Linked DNA regions of Sus scrofa. The protein of the gene in region 1 purifies or fractionates together with the protein of each later gene. This does not show direct contact. Links are inferred from orthologs where the notes say so. Each region holds a gene or a part of one and is shown in the gene's direction. Other genes may lie near its edges.

Region 1 (4,289 bases):
AGGTGGTGACTCTCAGGTTTCTCCACTGTGTTTTTCCAAGGTACCTTTTTGCCACTGAAATTAACAAGTAATCTGTGGGCTGGTCCTTTGAGACTGAATACCCACTTCTCCATCGACAAGCATTGCCTGAATCAATCATTCCTCTGTTTGTTGCAAAATGGTGATTTTTTTCAAACACAGCATTTGCTTTTTCATGTCTTAGTTGGCATTCCAGAATTATTTCCCCACCCCCACCCCCTAAAAGGGGCAGAGGTAGCACTCAAATCTGACCTCCTCACCCACTGAGCCTCCTAGCTTCTTGAGCTATAAAATCAAGTATGTTGTGGTCTCTGCACGTGGGTGGAAAAGTAATTTTCTAAATTTAAAGCAAGGTGTAGAAAAGACAAGTATATTGAAGCAAGAGACACTGTTAACACATCAGGTCGACTTCCTGATATTCAGGGAGAGCAGACCCTGGGGGCATGGTTGTGTCTGTTTTTATAGCCCAAAGACAAAGAAGCGGTCTTGCCATACACCTGAGGACCTAGTGATTGGTTGGAGAAGAATGAGGTCTTCTGATACACTTGCTGGTTGGTTGGGGAAAGACAGGGTCTTTGGATACACCTGCTGGTAGTTTGGGGCCATATGTTGCCCCTAAAGGGGTGGGGTAAGGAGTGGGCTACATACCTTTTCTAGTGGGGGGCAGGAAGGAGTAGGCCAGGTTGATCAAGGGGAAGAGGTGAGGAGTGGGCCACATACCTTTCCTAGTAGGGAGCAAGAAGTAGGCCAAGTTGCTGGGGTGGGGAGGTCCTTACGAACATTGTAACAGTTACAGTGAGACAGGTGGGATGATAAGGGTTTGGTAATTCTTATCTTGGCTGGAGGCTTTTTGAATTTTATTTCCTTGGAGAAACTTTGAAGTCCCACAAAGTAGGAAGGAGATGCCCCGTGTTGCTCTGTGCCCCTGCCCTCACCCCTCCCTGGGCACTTCTTCATCAACAGGTAGAATCATGTGGATTCCGCTCAGGACTCTGCTGTGCCCACAGCCCACATACTGTCCTCTCCAGGTGTTTAGGAAGCAGCTTAGATGCCAGGCATAAGCAGGGCAGTGGACACAGTCCCAGAGAGGGCACAGGCCTAGCCAGAGGCAACTGATCGCTCAGTGGGCGTGGCAGAGGTCAGCAGAACAGGAAGAGAAGGACATTAGCTGTCCCTGTTGCCTCTGCAGTCTCGGTATTTGCCAGCTGGGTGGGGCTGCCTGGGCAGACCTCAGCAGCTAAGTCCAGGGCTCAAGCTCCCTTTTTACTTTGTCCTTCTGCAGGCCCTAGCAGGGCTGGAACGCTCAGCATCTCATCCAGGGAACTGCAAAGAGCCAATCGTTCAATGAGGGTTGAGAAGTTAGGTCTCCAAGAACTACAATTCCCAGAACACACAGTGAACTACGGTCCAGCCCCAGCTGCCTGAGTGGCTGGCTTGTTCCTGGAACAAGGGAATCTCACCTGTCCTGGGAACTGAGCTTCCTGGCCTGGGCAAGTTGTGTTGGTATCTTTGTTTCTTGGACCTGCTCCTGCCTGAGAAATCCTGGTTACAAGCCAAACCTGGAGATGGTGAGATTACCCAGTTCTTTTACCTACACATATGTACGGAGACCCTGCTCTGTGCCAGTCTGGGGCTGGAGGTGGGGGTAGGGAGGCGGAGAACAGTCAGATGTAAGAAACTGAGGACAGAGGCTTGGGTTGGCTGGGTATCCCTTTGTAATCCAGCACATAGTATGTGCTCAATAAATATTCGCTGGTCAACCAACGAGCGAACAGGGCATCTTGCCCTTTCACCCTGCTTTGCTAGCTCCTACAGTACTGTACTCTCCTAAAGCGTGCTGTATCTTTCTGTCCGCCCTCTAAGTCTTTGCACGCGCTGTTCCTTCTACCAGGAGCACATTCTTTCAGCTTACTCATCAGTGTGTCTGTAGAGATAGGACAGAGACTGGCACGGACCAGGGGCACATTAAATATTTGATAAGTGGATGAATGAATGAATGCCCTTGTCCATTGTCCATCCAAGATGCAGGGACACTCGGGACCCTCCCTATTCATCTCAGTCTCCCGCCTGCCCGCTCGGAATGAATGCGTGTTTTTATCCACCCCGAGGATGGCCACGCAGGGGCAGGGGCAGGCCGGGCGGAGGACTGGATCTGAAGCTGCCCTTGGCTCCCTCCCGGATTTCCTAGCGGGTCCGTTTTCTGGACTTCGGCAGTTTTCATCCTCTCTGCGAAACTCAGTCTCGGTCTCCTGACTCCCAAGACTAGCCCCCAGCTTCTTACCAGCCACAGCACCCCACCCGGACACTCAGCGAACAGCACGTGGTCCAGGAGTCCCAGCTTTCCATTGGCCACTGGCCTCCTTCCTTCTCTGAGATTGGCCGGGGCCCAGCCGCAGCTCCCCCCTCCGCAGCCTTGCGGTGGTACAGCCCGCCGCGGCTTAGGAGGGGCGGGAAGATCCAATGCTCCGTGGCGCGGGGGAGGTGTCGTGAAGAGCCGGGCGAGGCTCAGGGATCCCTCTGGAATGTTTCCTTCGGTTCCACCCGGAGCGGGGGGCGTGGAGCCGATTGGCCGCGAACGCCGAGCGGCCGCTCCTGATTGGCCGGACGCGGGCACAGGCCCCGCCCCCTGGCTGTGCTGCTGGAGAGGCCCGGGCCAGAGTTTGCCGAGGGCCAAGCAGGGCGCGCGCTGGGAGGCGGCAATGCAGGTGAGTGTCCCCTGCGGGCGGTGCGCATCGCGGCGGCTCGAGGGACCCTAGCGCGGATCCGTGGGATCGCAGATCCACGGGGATCTGGCAGGTCCTACGAGGTAGGGCCGGCCCTATGGAACGAGGCTGGAGGTCTAGACTAAGCCAGGGGGTGCCGGAGGCCCCTCCCCAGCGGGCCGCCTGCCTTCCTGCCGGAGGAAGGAGTAAATGCCTCCCGCCGCCGGGATGGGCTCTCCAGCCGCATCCCACCTCCCTGCACTCTGGACAGTTCCCGTCCCAGAGGGGACAGGAGCGGGATCGGTATTTCTGAGCCCTGCCTGGGCAACTCTCCACAGCTGGCCTTTCTCAATCTTCCTGGGCCTAAGGAGGCTTGGGGAGGACCGAGGTCCCGATAAAAATAATGAAAATAAATAACCCGGCTAGCATTTATTGAGCACTTCCGTGTCAGCTATTTACCATGCCATATTTACCATTGAATCTAAACACCTCATGGAAGGTGCTGTTGCTTCTTTCGGAGCTGAAGCGGTAGACCCAGAGAGCTAGAGTGACTTGCCCAAGATCACACAGCTAGTGAGTGGCAAATCTGGGACTCAAACCCATGCCTTAGAGTCCAGAACAGGAGTCTCAACCACTAGACTAGATGCCCAGTGGTTCCAAGGCTCAGGTGTTTCTGACCAGCTCCTCCCACTCTACCCCCTCCAACCAGACATGCCATCTGGGCCACACCCGCTGGTCTTTGCTTTCACCAGCTGCTCAAACAGGAAGCTGCCCTCATGTCCCTTCTCCCCTAAACTGGAAAAGGCAAGGACAAAATATCAGGGTCTTGAGAAGAAAGTGACATCTGAAGGAGAGGTAGATGGGGGTGGGGGAGGCAGCACGGTGGGGTCCTGTGCCTGCTAGGCCCTCCTGGGAAGCCTGGGCCCAGGACAGTAGGCGTTCTCCCCGGAAACACCCAGGAGCCGGTTTTTCAAGACTGAATCAGAGGCCTCCCGGCTTCCTCTCCCAAGCAATACCCTGCTGAAAAGGGGAGCCTGGGTGTGGTGTTTCCCCACCACCCCCTACAGCTTGTATGAGCTCCCAGGAACCCCCTTCCCCACTTCCTGCTCCCCTCACTGCAACTCTGTATAACTATGGCTTGTTGAGTTTCATGCCCTTCCCAGAGAAAAGAGGGTGGGGATGCTGGGATTCCAGCGAATGTGCTCAATGCCCTGGGCTTAAACTCCTTTTCCTCTGTCCCTGTGTTAAGGTTTGAGGGGAGACTAGGAACATGGTGAGGAGGTGGCAGCTAGCAACTCTACAGTGGGCATGTTCTGGGGATAGAGGGGCTCCAGAGAAATCAGAATGAAGGGTTTAAGACACATTCATTCATTCTACACATATTTATTGAGCACCTACTATGTGCCAAGTACTGTTCCTGGCACAGAGGATATAATAGTGAACAAGACAAAAATCCATGCTTATGGGGAGTTGCCATTCGAAAGGGGGGAAAACAGGCAACAAACAGTTTAACAAGAAGATACTTGCAGAGGGTAATAAGTGCTTTGAATAAAATACAAGGGAGTGGCA
Region 2 (3,651 bases), on another chromosome or scaffold:
AGGAAGACTTTTAGGATTAGGGATGTACAGAGCTCTGTGAGGATGATGATCTGAGAGTCTTTAGTTTCTCATGGTGACTTATGTGAGCAGGGATAATGAGCAGGATAGAGATTATTCTGCGTAGTCTCTGAGGTGTACTGTGATGATACAGTTGTGAGTGTTGGGGAGAAGTTTGCTAAGAACTCACAGAGCTAAAAGGCTTCATCTTCAGTCATAGAAATGAATACAGCTTCATATGTGTCTGTCTCTTGGAACCTCCTCTTCCCCCACCCACCACTGCTCTCCTCAGCTCCTTTTCTCATGACCCTTCTTCCTCTGCCTCTTCTCTCTCCCCCTTGTCTTCTGTCATCACCCACCCTTTTCTCCTCATCCTCCTCCACCTTCCCTGCTTTTCTCTCTCTCTCTCTCACTTTCTTTCTTTCCTCCTTTCTTCCTTCTCTTTTCTCTTTCTTTTCCTTCACTTCCTCCCTTCCTCCCTTCCTTCTTATTTGTACCTATCTGTTCCTCACTCTGTGGAATAATTCATGTGTATTTTTGTAGGGCCCACCACATTCCAGATATTTTTCTGGATTCTTTTCATTATCTTTTCTTTTTTGGCTATTTTGCAACACAAATTGTTAACCATTACTTTCTGTTCAGTTGGCAGAGCCATGGAACTACAGAAGCAGCGCCACCCTAAGCATTTAGCCACACCCTCTTCTGTGAGTCCTGAACCTCAAGATTCTGCTAAGTTGCGCCAGAGTGGATTAACAAGTGAAGGAACAGACGTTGGATACCTGCCAGCCAATTCCACGTCCTCTGTGGTTTCAGGGGCCACTCTTTCCCAGGAGGGAGGGAAAGAGAATGATATGGGTGAGCTAGTGCTGTATTTCAACTTAACTAAGTATCAGGATTTTAAAACAATTACACTAAGAATAGAGTGGCAGCTTATTTTAATCAAGACTGAGTCTTAGTTTAGTTTTAACATTTTAATATTTTATAACTAGTGACAAATCTATACTGAATGGTAGTAATTTTGAGTTCTCATCCATTCAAAAAATATTTATGGAACTCTCTGTCAGGCACTAACATTGTATCAGAAGTTAGTATACAATAATTATTCATGAATTCTTGCCCCATGCAGCTTAATCTTCTGGGGAGACAGTCATACAAATAAAAAATTCAAATTATGGGGAGTGTTGAGGGGACTGGTCAGTAGCTAGAGGCAGATATGCATATATGGGGAGGGGTACATCTACAGAAGCATTTTTTTAAAAGCTGAAATACTGGAGTTTTCTTTCTTTCTTTCTTTCTTTTTTAATACTAAGGGGGAGCCAATTGAGAGGAAGAGATTAGAGAGTGAAAATGCAGGAGGTAAACTACATAACCAATAGAACAAAGTTTTGAGAAGGAGAGAAGCAATGAGATGCAGAGTGTATGTGAAGGGCGAGGTTATTAGCTGAGAGTGAGGGTTTAGTGAGAAGAGCAAAAGGATTTGAAGAGTAAAGAAAAATAGGAAATTATTATAGGTAATTGAGAAAAGAGCTTATTATTATATTCATACTTGTTGTAATGGATTTCTTTTTTTTTTTTTTTTTTTTTTTTTGTCTTTTTGCTATTTCTTGGGCCGCTCCTGCGGCATATGGAGATTCCCAGGCTAGGGGTCCAATTGGAGCTTTAGCCACTGGCCTACACCAGAGCCACAGCAACGCGGGATCTGAGCCGCGTCTGCGACCTACACCACAGCTCACGGCAACGCCCGGATCCTTAACCCACTGAGCAAGGGCAGGGACCGAACCTGCAACCTTATGGTTCCTAGTCGAATTCGTTAACCACTGTGTCACGACGGGAACTCCAAGGATTTCTTAAGCTAAAGTGAGCTGGGTGAATAGACCTGATTATAGTGGTGATTTTGGAAGCAGTTCAATTTCTGGTATGACAAGATCAAGGATAAATCTGTGAAAGTGGTCACCGAGGTGGTATAGGGGAGGTTACAAGAGATGATGGATGTAAGGAACCAAGGAGCCAAGGATTTGAATATCTTTATATACACAGATTTTGAGGTCACCTCATGTTATAATATCATGGAGAGGAAAATGGTGAGTCAGCAGCCAAAGGTTCAGGGTTGTTAGATGCTTGTTGGTAGGGGGAGATGTGGTATTATGCAGAAAGTGAGAGCCTCAATGGAGCAAGGGATTTTTATAGGAGGGTAAGATAGTAGCCTAAAAGTAGCACTGAAGAAAAAGAAGGGTATCTATCTTGTCTCCACTCTGTAGTACATAGTACACAACTGAAACATCAGTCTCTGTTTGAGATGGCTGTAGCAGAAGAGGTGACCTTCCATGGGATAGGCAAGTTTTAATTTAAGACAAAAAAGTAAGGGTGACAGTTGTAGAAAAGTCTGTAGGCTTTGCCTTATGTGGAATTCTGAAGGTGTTGGATTGAGTAATGCATTAATTCCTAGCTCTCATGTCTCATTGAGATGAAACCATAAAGAGAAAGTAAGTGGAAGAAGAGAAGATATCAGTCAATAAGAAATTGGGGCGCGGGGAGGATTGAAAGTGGGCAACTGTGATTTGATAGATAAAACAACATAAAGTGAGAGCCCATAATTTGTTTGGGTCCATGATGGGAGCCATTCTTCCCTTTAGAACTCAGGAGAGACTTTGGGCTCAGAGTTGGGATATGTTGTGGAGTACGAGTAAGAAGTAAAGCTGAAAATGATGAATTAATTGAAGATCTGTAATCAAAACAAGTATACCAGCAGCTTCTGATCCTTACGTTGTAGGATATAAGCAATCTGTCATTCATGCATCCGAAGAAAACAGATGTGCTCTTTGTTATACAAGGCGGAAAGAATTGTGTAGAGAGTTAAGTCCTCCAGGGGATTAGTGTCCTGGAATTCATCGAAGGGGTTCACCCTAATCAGAGGAGCTCCCAGCTGGGATGGACCTACTTCCACATAGCAGAACAAGAAAGCCCAATCAGCTGCCCATTTTTGCATTCTTACATACCAATAGCATTACTTTCTTTTGGCAAAAGTTAAGAGTCAAGACCTAAGATAATACATAACGCCAAACATATTAGTGGCATTAAAAAGAAAATAAAAAATAAACAGAAAAACTGCCAGTAGCAGAAAATAATTTAGATAATAAATGAGAACTTATGGAAATACCTCTAAATTAGATAGTATTCTTGAGGAAATTAATGAGGTTATTATATCTAAAGAACACATAGGATGCTCTGAAAAAGGAGCAGGGACCAAAAAGTTTTAATGTAACTATTATGTGTAATAACTGTTTTAGTAGTCATCAATTACTTTGCGATAAATTACCCTAAAATGTAATGACTTAACACAAGAACATATTTACTGCTTCTCATTTTTCGGTGGGTAAGGAACTCCAGGGCAGCTTAGCTAGGCGGTTCGGTCTCAGAGTTTCTCATAAAGTGGTGGTCAGAATGTCAGCCAGCTCTCTGAGAGCTTACTTGGAGCCAGGAGACCTGCTTGTGTACCTCCACAGGTGGCTGGTGGCAGGAAGACTTAGCTCCTTGCTGGGGGCCTTGGCTCCTCATCACATGGGCTTCTCCATAGAACTGCTTGAGTGTTCCATGACGTGGTAGCTGACTTTCCCCTGAGTGTTCCAGAAAAGATAAAGAAGCCTCAGTGGTTTT
Region 3 (2,552 bases), on another chromosome or scaffold:
CGCTCTTTTCGTCCTGGACCACGCTCCCATCCAGGCCATGTGGAAACCCGCGTATGACTTTCTACTCACCTGGAGCCACCAGATCGGGGACAGCTACCGCGACGTCATCCAGGAGCTGCACACGGGCCTGGACAAGATGAAAAACCCCATCACCAAGCGCTGGAAACACCTCACAGGGACGCTCATCCTGGTGAACTCCCTGGACGTCCTCCGAGCAGCCGCCTTCAGTCCCATGGACCAGGACGACTATGTGATTTGAAGGGGTCCCTCCACCTCCTGCTGCTCACGGGGCGGGCCACTTGCCCTCCGTCTGCCCTGGACGCCCCGCAGTCCTATGGAGCTGGGGGTGGACAGGGAGGGTCGGCTGCTCCCTTAGATCCAGGGTCCCTCCCGGCTGGACCCGCACCCCGGACCAAGCACATGCAACGCTCCACTCACCGCCTCTGTCACAGGGGAGGGGCCGTGGGAATTGCTACGGCAGGTTGTTGCCAATCAAATAGCTTTCTATTTGTTAATTATACCTTGAGATTTAAAATCACTTTTTTTTTAAAGTATGGGGGGCTAGGGGCCGATGAGAAAGGTGATACCTAATTTTTTAATGGACCATAAAGATTTAAAAAAAAAAGAACACTTCATAGGGGCAGATGCTGTTGAGGTTTTTATGTTCTCGAAAGACCTTTTTAAATTATGTTCCAGATGTATATATGTATTTAAGGGTCGTGGGAGCATTTCTAATTGCCAGGCACACTCGGCATTTCAACACTGAGCTCGGAAAGACACTCGTTCAGGCGTTGGGCCGTCTGGGGTCTGTACGGAAAACGAAGTCAAACAGGAACCGTGCTGTTTCAGTCAAGAGTCTGGTCCTCACCCATTCTTCCCGAGATCATCCTAGGCCTGGCTTTCCTCGTGTTTTTATTTACCTTCTGTACATCGGCCCCGTGTCGCAGGAAAGGATCAGCCACAGCACAGGGGAGGCTTTTTTGAGCTTTAGCGGCCAGAGGGAAATCCAGTTTTATGCCCTTGAGACAAGCGGGCAGCGGGCAGGCAGCCTTCTCTCCCGCCCTGCCGGGGGCCTTCAGTCCTGCAAAAGAGCTGCACCATTTGGAGGGAGGGGGTCCCCGAAGCTCTAAAGCCACTGTCCTGCTTCTCCCTGGAGGCAGGGGGAGTGCTTCCTGCGGAGCTCAAAGCCTCGCCTCCGGGTGTGAAGAAAACGCCACCCCACATGCACCTAATGCTCATGGCCAGGGGTGTCCGCTGCCGTTTGCCAAACTCCATTTCACCTAAAACGTCACCCCTCTGGCCTCCTGGTGTGTCCATCTTTCCTTGGACGTAAATAGCATAGGGAAGTCTCTTTTAAAAAAAACACTGTAACGATTACCCAAGCAAAATGAATGTTTTCTGAAAACATTTCCCGCATACAGTGGGGCCCACTGAGTTCCCAACGCTGGTTGCAGATCCGCGTGCTGGGCTGAATTCCGGCTGCATCGCCAGGAGGGAGTGAGGGGCGGGGCTGAAGACTCCAGCGGATCTGAGGAGTCGATCCCCAGGAAGGAGCCAGGACACGCGCTGTGCTCACCTGAGGGATGCTAGGCCATCTGGAATCCCTGAATGTCATTCCCTCTGTCCGCTTTCTGGAGGCCTGTTAATTACTTAGCCTCATTGATGTAAATGCTCTCTCAGGCAGCAACACTCTTAGAAGGCTGTTGATTCAGATACTGAAGACCAACTAGCTAGAAACACCCACGAAAAGAGCCCTGCCTCGTTTCTTCTGCAGGAGCCTGGACACACACTCGGCCGATCCTCACCCAAAGTCACCTGACCTTCTGCTTCTTGACTCTCCGCCTTCAGTCTTCCCAGAGAGCATCTCTCACTTTCCCCCCAAAGAAGAAACCAAACCAGTCGCACCTTAAATATGGATATTTTTCCTCAGGGGCTTTAAATTGTTTCCTATGCAACATGTCTTGTAGCACAAAATTCGATTCTACAAAAGTTGCAGTAAATTTTCTTTGGATATTTTAATTAAGTGTGTGTATGTTCTTCTGTCCCCACGCAGCCTCTAAAGGAAACACAAACAAAACGTGGCGTAACTCTTTGCGGAGAACAGTGCCCCTGCCCCCACACCATTGCCCCTGGATGATGGTGGCACAGTTGCTTTCACGGGTATCTGTTGTCTAGCTGTTAATTTCATTGCTCTTGAAATACACGCTCTCAGCCATCACTGACTCATGGGAATCAGTGTGGCCCAGCGTACCCAAAGGGTGCAGGTGGGTGGCTTGCCATTTTCTTGGTCTCTTGCACCTGGAATGGGCAGATCCCAAACCCGCAATACAGCTGAGGATGGAACCATGGCTGTGCGCCAGGACTCCGTTGCTAGTGAGAGCCGGACTCCCCCAGGCCCTGCCCCCACCGTGCCCTAGGTATGGGGTGTAGCCCAGGGTGAGAAGGGACTGGGGGCGGGTCCCTGATGGAGACCAGGTGCTGGGAGGAGTGGGGCCAGGAGGGCCTCCTTGAGAAGTGACTTGAATCCAAGCTCCAGGCTGCCTCGGCACCAG

The links.
Region 2: the proteins of GIPC1 (region 1) and ARHGEF12 purify together in Homo sapiens (co-immunoprecipitation; 4 studies listed by BioGRID and IntAct, with this or other methods). This does not show direct contact. The link is inferred for Sus scrofa from reciprocal best matches to the Homo sapiens genes GIPC1 and ARHGEF12.
Region 3: the proteins of GIPC1 (region 1) and SH3BP4 purify together in Homo sapiens (affinity purification with mass spectrometry; 4 studies listed by BioGRID and IntAct, with this or other methods). This does not show direct contact. The link is inferred for Sus scrofa from reciprocal best matches to the Homo sapiens genes GIPC1 and SH3BP4.

The regions. Positions count from the first base shown.
Region 1 is NC_010444.4:64,778,972-64,783,260, forward strand, and holds the start of GIPC1 (PDZ domain-containing protein GIPC1), read left to right. Parts: upstream 1-1,475; 5' UTR 1,476-1,586; intron 1,587-2,627; exon of another isoform or gene 2,628-2,723; intron 2,724-4,289. UniProt on the Homo sapiens protein: May be involved in G protein-linked signaling.
Region 2 is NC_010451.4:47,587,505-47,591,155, forward strand, and holds part of ARHGEF12 (rho guanine nucleotide exchange factor 12), read left to right. Parts: intron 1-639; coding exon 640-852; intron 853-3,651. UniProt on the Homo sapiens protein: May play a role in the regulation of RhoA GTPase by guanine nucleotide-binding alpha-12 (GNA12) and alpha-13 (GNA13). Acts as guanine nucleotide exchange factor (GEF) for RhoA GTPase and may act as GTPase-activating protein (GAP) for GNA12 and GNA13.
Region 3 is NC_010457.5:135,092,783-135,095,334, forward strand, and holds the end of SH3BP4 (SH3 domain-binding protein 4), read left to right. Parts: intron 1-34; coding exon 35-259; 3' UTR 260-2,019; downstream 2,020-2,552. UniProt on the Homo sapiens protein: May function in transferrin receptor internalization at the plasma membrane through a cargo-specific control of clathrin-mediated endocytosis.